Linked DNA regions of Alligator mississippiensis. Each later gene encodes a partner of the first gene's protein in a complex. Links are inferred from orthologs where the notes say so. Each region holds a gene or a part of one and is shown on either strand. Other genes may lie near its edges.

What was found.
Region 2: TMEM231 (region 1) and TMEM107 share a complex: the UniProt entries of both Homo sapiens proteins name them as parts of the tectonic-like complex. The link is inferred for Alligator mississippiensis from reciprocal best matches to the Homo sapiens genes TMEM231 and TMEM107.
Region 3: TMEM231 (region 1) and TCTN1 share a complex: the UniProt entries of both Homo sapiens proteins name them as parts of the tectonic-like complex. The link is inferred for Alligator mississippiensis from reciprocal best matches to the Homo sapiens genes TMEM231 and TCTN1.

The regions. Positions count from the first base shown.
Region 1 is NC_081833.1:77,757,312-77,761,057, forward strand, and holds the start of TMEM231 (transmembrane protein 231), read left to right. Parts: upstream 1-715; 5' UTR 716-730; coding exon 731-872; intron 873-990; coding exon 991-1,157; intron 1,158-1,466; coding exon 1,467-1,595; intron 1,596-3,746. Other genes in the region: GABARAPL2 (gamma-aminobutyric acid receptor-associated protein-like 2), read right to left, coding at 40-95, 174-207. UniProt on the Homo sapiens protein: Transmembrane component of the tectonic-like complex, a complex localized at the transition zone of primary cilia and acting as a barrier that prevents diffusion of transmembrane proteins between the cilia and plasma membranes.
Region 2 is NC_081838.1:25,053,179-25,056,924, forward strand, and holds the start of TMEM107 (transmembrane protein 107), read left to right. Parts: upstream 1-1,058; 5' UTR 1,059-2,099; coding exon 2,100-2,186; intron 2,187-2,789; coding exon 2,790-2,857; intron 2,858-3,130; coding exon 3,131-3,231; intron 3,232-3,318; coding exon 3,319-3,415; intron 3,416-3,746. UniProt on the Homo sapiens protein: Plays a role in cilia formation and embryonic patterning. Requires for normal Sonic hedgehog (Shh) signaling in the neural tube and acts in combination with GLI2 and GLI3 to pattern ventral and intermediate neuronal cell types.
Region 3 is NC_081833.1:3,218,442-3,222,187, forward strand, and holds the start of TCTN1 (tectonic-1), read left to right. Parts: upstream 1-1,006; 5' UTR 1,007-1,015; coding exon 1,016-1,262; intron 1,263-1,808; coding exon 1,809-1,929; intron 1,930-3,746. UniProt on the Homo sapiens protein: Component of the tectonic-like complex, a complex localized at the transition zone of primary cilia and acting as a barrier that prevents diffusion of transmembrane proteins between the cilia and plasma membranes.

The DNA.
Region 1 (3,746 bases):
GGGCGGGGGAAGGCCGGGCCGAGGGCCGCGCTCACTTACCGGGACGCGGTCTGGGTACTTGGCCCGGATCTTCGCCGACTCGACGCATCGGTGCTCTGCGAACAACGCGCGGATTAGTGCGGGGCCGGGCGGCCGGGGGGGCCTCCCGGGGGGCGCGGGGTGTCCGGCCTTACCCAGCGCGTGGTCCTCCTTGAACATCCACTTCATGGCGGCGCGGGGCCAGGCTCTGCCGGGGTCGGAGCCGGGGTCGCGGCGGCCCGGGGGCGCTGCCGGGGCTGCTCCGGGGGCGGCCGGGCCTGTCGCTGTCACAACAACAACAGCTCGGCGGGCGGGACTTCCGGCCCCCCCGTTGCCCAGCAACCAGAATAGGTTGCGGAGCTTCCGGCCCACGGTGACCGAGCAACGAGGAGGGGGCGGGGTCGCGACATCCGGGACCGGTGACGCGAGGCGGAGCCAAGCCGCGCCCCGCGGCCACGTGATCCACTTGCTAGTCCCCGCCCCCGGCGTCTGCTGTGGTGACGTTTACTAGTGGACGGTGCCGGTACTGGGCTGACACTGACTGGGCGGGGGGCGGGACTCGGGCGTCCTCAGCTTCAGGCGCTGATTCGCTGCTGGACGTAGGCGCGTTATTATTGGCCGCCGCGCACTGGCCCCGCCCAGCCGGAGCCACGCGCGGATTGGCTCGGTTAGGTCCCCGCGCGCCGGCCGCGGTTGCTATGGCGACGCAGCCATGGGCCGCGTGGAGCTGTTCTCGGAGCCCGCGCAGCGCACGCGGTACCGCGCCGGGCTCTGCTCCGCCGCCGCCCTGGGCCTCGCGCTGCTGGGCGCGCTCACCTACGTGCCGCCGCTGCTCGTGGCCTACCGCAGCCACGGTCCGCGGCCGGGCGGGGCTAGGGTCCGGGTCCGGGGGCCGGGGTGGGGCTGGGTGGTGGGACTGGGCGGGGCGGGGTGGGGTGCCCGCGGCTGCCGGCTGACGGCGCGTCCCCGCAGGACTGTGGCGCACGCAGGCCGCGTACCGCGAGCAGCCGGCCGTCCGCTTCCGCTACGAGGCGCTGCTGCTGGCCACGACGGCGGCGCCAGGCGGCGGCCTGGCCTGGAGCACGTTCCCCGCCTTCAACCGCCTACAGGGAGAGCGCCTGCGCGTCCCGCTCGTCGCGGTGCGTGTGGCGGCGCCGGCCGGGGCCGGGGTGTGCCCGGTTCCCCCGTCCGCTGTCGCCGCAGCCCGGCCAGGCCCCTGGGGTCAGGCTGGGCGCAGGCTGTCACCTGCCGCGGGTGGGAGGTGGCTGCAAGCGCTGCTCTGGGCACAGCCCGCGGGCCTGGCTCGGCTCCAGCCCCTTCCTGCAGGCCGGGGCCATGCATGCTCTTCCCCCTTGGAAATCCTTCCTAGTGTCGAGGGTCTGCCGCTGGGACCGTGCTGGCACCAGCACCAAGGCCAGAGCGTCATTAGGGTTCCTTGTTACTTGCAGACTAGAGAAGAAGATAAGAATCAAGATGGCAAGATGGACCGGTTGCATTTTAAACTGGAGCTTCCTTTGAAGCCAGAGGAGCAAGTGCTTGGCGTGCAGCTCATTCTGACTTTCTCCTACCAACTGCACGTGAGTCCCCGTCTGCCTGTAGTGCTCCTCGGTGCAGAGCCAGCGCCGGCTTCCCAGTAGCAATGATATCAATCAGCGGTTCTCAGCGTTTTTGTACAGGACCCATTTGTGAACATCGATGGCCAGTCCCGACCCAGTTGTGGGGCAGCCGCGGTTTCCCACGTTTTTTTCCTTTTAAAGGAGAATCCATTTTTAAAGCTTGTTCATTACCCTTTCATATATTCTTGTGACCCACTTTTGGTCACACATGTGACCCATGGGTTGAGGAACACTGATCTAAAGTGATAATAACAGAAAAGAGAAGTGATTGCAATACTCTAGTAGGTGAGACTTATGTTACGACTTATTTTTAGAACAGTGAATTTTCATTCTAATTCGCTTTTCCATTTGTACTCCTTTAATGTAAGGCTGTGGTTCTCGACCTTTTTGGAGTCAAGGCACTCCATGTTAGATTCAAAGCAACTTTCAGAAAGTGCCAGCTTTGAATTTCTAGTCATTTTTTGCCTATAGACAGAGCAGTTTTTCTTTTGCAAAGAACTTGGGCCACAACAGGTCAGAACGCTTTTAACACTCTGGATTCCTATTTGAAATCTTTGGGCTTAGCTTGTCAATTGTGTTTGCATGCCTAACAGCGATAACACTGTGTGGCAACCCATGGCACTCGTGAAAGGATCGTGACACCCAGATTGAGAATTACTGATATAAGGGAAGGTACATTTCCATTGGTTGATGAAACTGTCCAAACATGTAGGTTTACACTAGGTTTGCTATATCATTTTGCTACCAAGGAGGGTCCTTTAACACGTGTATAGTCACATCATAATGTTCTGTGATGTGTGGCATCATAAATATTTAATAATTTGAGAAAGGAGCCAATCAGAGCTTGGAGAAGGGCAAGCTGTAAAGTAAGAGTATTGGCCTCAGTGAAGGACTTGGATGATTCCTGAAGTTGTGTCTTAGAGCTTGAGCCCAGGTCAAACGCTTGTGATGGCATTACCAATTACTTGCATCCTCAACATAGCATGTAATCTGTTCTGCCATATTTATGAAGCTTGACCTCAGAAAGTGAGATGTTTTCCCTGGTTTCTGCTTTGTCTAGGAAAAGCGTACAGCTTACGTCTTGCAGATTGTAAAAATTCTTGCTGGAGGCTCATGAATTCAATGCATCTTTTTTAAATAGCTTTTAAGAGATTAAAATTTTAAGTAGGGCTGTCAATTATTAGGGAAGGGACGGGGCAACAAATCAAGGCCCCATGGTGAGGGACGGATTGGAGCAGAGGCTGGGGTGAATGAGGCCCCGGGGCCAGGGTGGGTTGTGGGACGGAGTCATAGGTGGCTTGTTCAGGGGCATGGGGGTGGTGCGATTCCCCGCTGCTGTGTGCTCCCCTGTGGGGAGCATGGGGTGCATGTGCCCCCCAGATTTGTGTATGGGGCAGAAATGGGCTGCAGGCTGGGGCTCTGTTCCCCCCTGCCTTTGCCCTGGGAACTGCACGCTGGCTGTGCCGCATGTCCCTTGCCCACCTGTGGTGGGAGGCACAACATAGTGTCACATGGCTCCTGGGCCAAAGGCAGCAGGCACAGAGCGTCAGCTTACAGTGGGCAGCCTGCCTCTGCCCTGTGCATAAATCTGGGGGACACATGCCTCCCCCACAGGTGTGCACAGCAGCAGGGAGCTCCATCCCTCGTACTTTATGTCCCTGGACAAGCCTCCCACAGCTCTGTCCCATGATGCGCCCTGGCCCTGGGGCCACATTCGCCCCAGCTCCTTCCCCACTCCCTCCCTCACTGTGGGGGCCTCAGTCTGCCCCTCCTGCCCCTTCCCTCTCCCCGTGGCCCCTCCCCTCCAGATTTACTTGCTGGGTGCTGCTCTACACACTGCTGAGTTGCATTCCTGTAGGGTTACCACACTTTGTTTAAAAAAAGAGGGCATTGGTGGGGAGGCAGGTGGTAATATGATTAGTGGGGTGGGGGCAGTGATATGCCCGTGCCCTACCTCTGCCCCTCACTCCCAAGCCACAGCCCTCCCCCCCAGCCCTGCTGCTGTCCCTTACTCCTGACCCACAGTACCTCACATCTGCCAGGGTGTTCGGGGCTGCCCACCCCCGAGGCTCTAAACCCCACACACACACCCCCAGCACCCCACACCTTCAC
Region 2 (3,746 bases), on another chromosome or scaffold:
CCCCCCCCCACGCATGCGCGCACACCCCCTCCCCCCGGGAACTCCCCTCTGGCCCCTTCCCAGCAGGTGTGAACCCCCCACGGGAGCTGTCAGCGGCCCCATGACTCCGTCCCCCACTCCTTGCAGAAAGGGAAACTGAGACTCAGGAGGGGGCGCCTGGGCTGCCCGCCCCCTCCCCCAGGTGCCAGCAGCACCGAGACGGCGCGGTGGGGGAGGGGAAGGCTGTGGGGACCCCAGGGACACCCATGGGACCCAGGTGTCCGGGGCGGACGGAAGTACATGCACTCAGGCACAAACCCCAGATGTCCAGGACACACACATACACACACACGCGTGTACAAACTCTTGAGGCATCCAGGACATAGACCCATACATGCGTGGAAATGCACTCACGCACAAGCATGCACACGTGTGCGCTCAGGCATAGGTAACCCAGGGGGCTCAGACACACACACACACTCTCGCAGATGCATGCAGAAAAAATACAGGCATCCAGGACACACACACATGCACACCTATGTGCACAGAGAACCCAGGTGTGTGGGACACACGCACAAAACCCAGGCATTTGTGGGGGACACACACATACAAACAGAACCTAGACGTCCAGGACACACACACACAATCCAGGTGTCTGGGAGACAGAGAACCCAGGCATCCAGGGCATGGACACCCCCCCCCCGCCAGGTGTCCCACACACATGTACACACACACAGAGCTCAGGTGTCCAAAATGAACACATACATGCACACATACACTATCTGGGACACACACGCGCACAAACACGCACACACATGCACATACCCACAGGCACACATACATATGGACACCCCACACACCCACCCATACATACACACGGGCACACGTGGTGCAGTGACCCCCCCTCCAGGGCCAGGCACCCCACGTGACCTGGGCAGCGGGGCCTCCTGGGGGGGCGGCACGAGCTCCCACCCAGGGACCCCGGGGCGGTGTGAACAGATGGAGCAGGGAGGGGGGTCTCCGGAGTGTCGGGGGGCGGGGCTGGGATCTAAGGGGGACGGGGCAGAGAGCATGTGACATGCCCCTTGTGTGTCTTTCCGTATGTGTGCGCATGTGTGTGTGTGAGATGCCTGGGGAGTGTGTGTGTGATAGCAAGTATGTGTGTGTGTGTGTACCAAGCAGTGCGAAAACTGGGGGCTCCAGTAGGGCAGGCTCCCCCCGCCCGGAACTCCCCTCTGGCCCCTCCCCAGCCCCGGCAGGCGGGACCCCCCACGGGAGCCGAGGCAGGCGACGAGGAGGACGATGCGGACCCGGAGCAGGGGCTCGGGAAGCCCGGGCCGCGCCAGGCAGGGCCGCTTTTGCCCAGTTGTATCACGTTACATTTACCGCGCGTGCCCGCGCCGTGGCGGCTGCACTCCGGCGGCTGCCTCAGGGCCCGGGGCCAGCTGGGGCTCCCAGGGGTCCGGCAGGACGGGGGGGGGCGGGGGCGGGACGTCTATGGCGTTGTGTCCTGGCAGCCGTCCTGGCACGTGCGCGGTCGGCACACCGCCCCCGCCAGCCCCGGGGCCGAGCCCGCAATTGCCCGCAGCTCGCGGGCGCGCGTCGTAGGCGGGGGAATACGGTAGCCGGAGACTTCGCGTCGTAGGCGGGGGGCGGGGGGTGAGCCGCCCCCGTCGCGGGGCGGGGTCCTGCGCTTGGGGCCCCCATCGTAGCACCCCGTGGGGGGGGGGGCAGCATTAACCCCTCAGGTGCCAGAGCCCGCAAGGGGGGGGCATTTGCCCATGGCGAGGGATTACCCTTCTTCCACGGGGGGGTGCTGCCATTTGCCCATGGGGGGGACTTTCCCTTGCGGGGGGAGAGCTGGTGCCAAAAATGCCCCCCTCCCCGGCAACTATGGGGGGGCAGCCCGACCCCGCGCGCGGAGCCCCCGGGGCATTTCGAGCCCGACGCCTTCACCGCTCGGGGCGGCCACGTCACTCCGGGTATGACGTCAGCGCGGGGTGACGTCACACCGCAGGGCACAGCTTGCCCCCCCAGCAGAGCGCCGGGCGTTACCCGGGGAGGGGGAGGGGCGCGGGGGCCGCCGGGAAGGGGGCGGGGCGTTGCCGGGCACCGGCCCGATGGCGGCGGCGGCGGCGCTGGTCCCGTGGCGGTTCCTGGCGCTCGTGGCCCATCTCGTCATCGTCATCGGCGCCTTCTGGGCCCGGGTAGGGCGGCTTGCACACGCCACGCGCCTGCATTCTGCACACGCATCGTGCACGCGTATGGGGACATGCACACGCATCGTGCACACGTGTGGGACATGCACACACATCACACATACGTGGGACATGCACACGCAGGGGACACCCCCACATCGCGCACATATAGGGGCACACCTTGCACACACATGAGGCGCACACTGCCTGCAATTGCAGGCAACACGTGCACACCACGCACGCTCATAGGACATGCACATGCATCATGCACATGCATGAGACATGCACACACATCACACAAACAGGGGAGATGGACATGCATCATGCACCCCAGGGGACACACCTGTGTCGTGCACACATAGGGGACGTGCAGCTTGCACACACATGGGTTGCACACTGCCTGCCACCACAGGCAGCGTGCACACACTGTGCACACTCATGAGACACCTACACGCAGGGGGCATGCCGCACGCCCATATGGCTGCACCCGGGGGAAGAGGCGCACGCTGTGCACACACACGGGCCTGGCGGGTGAAAGTGGGGGGGGGTCCTGATGCCCGGGGTCCCTGCAGCGCGGCCCCCCCAACCCGCGTGCCTCTGTCTGTGCCGCAGGAGGACAACGTCCGGGCATCGCTGCCCCTGGACCACACGCCCGAGGAGTACGGCCGCCGCGACACCGAGTGCGTGCCCACCCGGACGTACCTGGGGGGCCGGGGGCGAGAGCAGGACGGGGCTGGGAGCCTGGACACATGGGGCCTCTCTGCTTTTGGGGGGGGGTCTTGAAAGCCCCCCTGCTCTGGGTGCTGGGACGGGAGTGAGGACCAGGGGGTGAGAGCAGGGGGCAACTGGGAGCCTGGACACCTGGGGTCTCTCCAGGCCTGGGAGCTTGCCAGGCACCCAAGGGGCAGGGGGCCCGATCCTGGGCCCACCCTCTTCCTCCCCCACCCTTGCAGGCTGGTGGTGGCCCTGTCGGTGACGCTGGGGCTCTTCGCGGTGGAGCTGGCTGGCTTCCTCTCAGGGGTCTCCATGTTCAACCCTCTGCAGGGCCTGCTCTGTATCCTTCTACCTCTTTTTTGGGGGGGGGTCTCTTTTGGGGGGTCTTGCCCTGCAGCTCCGGTTGTGGCCCCTGACACCCCCCCAGCCTGCGGGGCCCACGTGGGCGCTGCCCTTGCCCTCCTCTTCGTCCTCTTCGAGCAGTGGGACAGCGCCACTTACTGGGGGATCTTTGCCTGCGGCAGGTCAGTGCCCCCAACCTCCCTTCCCCCAGACCTGGAGCGGGGAGGTCTTGTCCCTTGCCCCCCAGCCAGCAAGTGCCCCTGGATCAGGCCTGGATTGGGGCCCCCTGGAGGTGGGAAGACCCCTGCCCCCCCCCAGCCAGTGGGTGCCCCAGATTGGGCCAGCACCTCCCAGAGGTGGGAAGACCTGTGCCCACCGCCCCTGCAGGCAGTGGGTACCCCTGGATCGGGGGCCCCTGGATGTGGAGAGATCTGTGCCCTGCCATCAGGCCCAGATCGGGGCCCCCTGGATGTGGAAGACCCATTTCCCCCCCAACCAGTAGGTGCCCCCCCA
Region 3 (3,746 bases), about 75 Mb from region 1:
GCGAATATTAACGCGTGACTGTTTATCGTCACCTGGAAGCGTCTTAAAGGACGGAGCGCTTTTCTTAAGCAAAGAATTTGGTTTTTAAATCAGCGTTAGAGAGAATAAGCTTGCCATAACGGATCGCTTCACTTGTATTTTGCAGCCGTTCAGTAACGCTTAGTTCAGCGCGGGATCAGCACAGCGCCATACGATTCCTGACCGAGGGACCGTACCGCTAGCACGCCCAGCCGCGATCTTGGCGGCTCTCCCAGGGAAGTCGGTACAGACGCTGCCCTGAGGCGACCCTCCCGCTGCCCCAGGCCCCTGTCATTACGTGGTTGTTACGCTCCGCGCCCAGCTCCCCCGACGGCAAGAAAACAGCGCAAGGCGGGAATCGTGTTGTGGGCCAAGCCCGCGGCCCGCTCGCCTGCCCCAAAGGGGTAGAGCCGGGAGCCCCCAGCCGGGCCCGGACCCCTCGGCAGAGCAGCAGGGACCGTGCACCCACCTGTCAGCCCGGCCCCTGAGACACTCTCCCGCCATGCCCCGCGGTGGGCATTAGCTCCTCTCCCATCATGCCCCGCGGCGGTGGAACCACTTTTCTCCCGTCATGCCCCGCGGCCCGGTGGCCCGCGGCGGCGATTAGCTTCTTTCCCAGGATGCCCCGCGGCCGCGGCTTAGCTTCTCTCCCGTCATGCCCCGCGGCGGTGGAACCACTTCTCTCCTGTCATGCCCGTGTGGCGGGGCATTAGCGCCTCTCCCGTGATGCTCCGCGGCCTCTCTCCCGTCATGCCCTGCGGCGGGGTATTAGCGCATCTCCCGTGATGCTCCGCGGCCTCTCCCGTCATGCCCTGCGGCGGGGGGGGGGTTAGCGTCTCTCCCGTGATGCCCCGCGGCGGTTGCCTGGTGACCGCGGCCATGGCGGCGGCGCTGCGGCTGGGCGCTCTGCTGCTCCTGCTCCCGCTCCCGCTCCTGGCCGGGGGGGCCGAGCCGGTCCCCAGCGCCGCCCCGCTCACGGACGGTGGGTGCCGGCGCCATGAGGAGCGGGGCCGTGGCGGGAGAGTCCCGGGCGGGGGGACAGGACCCTCCGCGGGTCTTTGGAGGCATTGGCCGCGCGCCAGGATCGGGCCCGTGCCGGGATGAGGCCCTGGGGGGGGGGCCCAGCGTCCCCTCCACCAATCTGCAGGTGCCAGGATCAGGCCCCGCGTGCGCCCTCAAGTATTTTGGTCTTGAGTTTGGGGCTGAGTTACCCGCGTTAAAAGACCAGGCTCTTGTTTATAACCGTAAGTATTGTTGTGCTTGACAGACGTGTCCTCGTGCTGCGAGCCCGCAGCCTTATTTTATGGAAACAAGCTCTTGCAGGGTGTGCACCCTCCCAGTCTACAGAAGAGGAAAGAGAGAACATGTTTAAATAAAAAAAACCCCAACAAACCAGCAGCTTTGCTTCGAGCAGCACATCAGAAAAACCTTCTCTGGGTCACGTGTGCTGGGTGGGATTGGGTGTCATCGAATACTTGGCATAAATTTTGCTAATATTCCTATATCGTTTCGACTGCCCTTTCTCTCTGCATCCCGTGTCACGATCGTTATTTGGCATTTCCAGCCCGCGCGTTGGGCTCGCGAGCAATACAGATTCATTGGTCGTTTGCTCCTAGCAGATTAACGGCTGGAGAGGAATTATTTCTCTTTAAAAGTAACCCCATGGCTTTTAAAAAGGCTAACATCTGAGAACTTGCATAGAAGCGTCCAGGCAGCGTGAAGAGCGGGTGCTAGGGAGCGCTGTAACCACTAACCTCCAGTCCCGAGTGTGTTTTAAATGTTCTCTCCAGTTGCGAAGCTGTGCGTCTGTAACCTGTTGGTGGCACAGTGTGACATCAATTGCTGCTGCGACCCAGATTGCGGCGCCGCAGACTTCAGCCTCTTCACTACGTGTTCAGTTCCTGTTGTCACGTAAGTTTATAAATGATTATAATTCTTTCAAGTTGAAATTACAGAACTGTGTTACACTCCATTGAATTCTGTAAGAAAATGTCCTTTGATCTCAGCGGGTGGAGGCTTGGTTCTGCAGTTAGTTTCGGCCGTCTGTCTTTACAGCCAAAGGACGTTTCCAAGGAGCGGGAAGATAAAGGTCTCTTGAGTTGAGAGACAAGGTTCCTTGGGTGAATTTGATATCTTTTATTACACCAACCCAAATAGTTGGAGAATAGTTATTAAGCAAGCCTTTGGGTTCAGAAACCCTTCGTCAGGCTAAGGAAGTTTCAGCAGTCGGTGTGTGCTCTTCCTGGATGGAAGTGAGTTGTGATATTTTCTGCAGTAAGAGAGAGCTTTACATTGTAAAAGGTCCCTTTTGAGGAGCATGGGGATATTATCAGTAGTTCTGTGGGGTAGCACCTTTCTTCACTAAAGCATAGGGCTGATACTTAAACTCCTACTGTTGCCTTCGGATTGATTCCAGCCTACACCTGACATGAGGATGAGGTGATGTAGCGTCCACCCGTTATCGTTTCGGGTGGCTACGTGAGACAGGCTCGGGAACTACACGGATTTCACTTAAGTTAGTATGCCGTTCTCTGTGCCTGGGGCTAGGTCCGTCTGCTCGGATGGGAGACCTCCGCAAAAAGGTTGGGCTTGAAACGGGCTGCGTTTGATTTCTGTGTCAAAACAGACTCAGTGTCTTGGCACAGGGGTGTCAGGCATATAGCTCGCGGGCTGGATCAGGCCCACCAGTAGTCCAGCCGGCTGGGGAGTGTGGCCTCCCACACAATTTAGGGTTCCTGGACCCCAGTGGACATGGCTGCTGGCAGCAGGCTCCCAGACCCACACTGCTGCCTGCCCCCATGCTGCCACCCGAACACAACCCCTGGCTCCATATTGCCGCTTGAGTGCAGACCCACGGCAGTTGTTGCTGGCCTGGTGAATCCAGCCCTGAAGTAGCTCCTGCAGTCTAGATCTGTCCCAGGACCTGGGTAAATTTGAACCGTGTCTTAGCATAACAGATCACTACTGGTCTACCCATGATAGTTTGAAAACCCTGCCTATAGGAGTTATAATCATGTTAACCAGAAACATGAGAGAATCAGAGCCATCGTTAAGTACCATGAGCTGATCTTTGTTCTCTTTAGGAGCAAGCATTCTTTCTCTCCTCTCTCCAACAGCCTTTGGAAGCTATAGAGTAAAATATTAAAATATATTCCAAAAATCAAGATAATTGTACTGACCATTGTTTCCTTTTTGCGCAGTTATAGTCCATTTTAGTACATACCTTTTGTATAGACTTCAGCTTCTTAAACAGGAATTAACAAAGCTCATTTTAGACTCAATTCAAAATAGCTCCATGTGACTTCTCGGAACAATAAGTATAGCTCTTCAGCCCACTTCCTGAATAAATTACCCCGATTTGAGTGCTGGTTCCTGATTCTTTGAAATTTGCATCAGCAGTCACCTAGGACTGCTGTTTCTCATTGTTCTTGCACACAATGCACATTGCTACCTATTTATAGGTATTTATATATATTTCAGAAAGGTCTAATAATGAATTTCTGAATGACAGTTTAATCCCCGGCTGTGAATATTCTGGGCCTGTTAACTAGAAAGGCATAAAATCAAGCAGTATATTTTTTTGGCCATTGAAAGGATTTTCAATGACCATGAGTGGTCAGGGCTTTGGTATTACGTGGCACTGCACATGTAAACAGCTGTGTTCCTGCAAGGATTGTAGCAGATCGTAAGATGAAGTGATCTTTGCGACCCTAAAGAACAGACAGTTA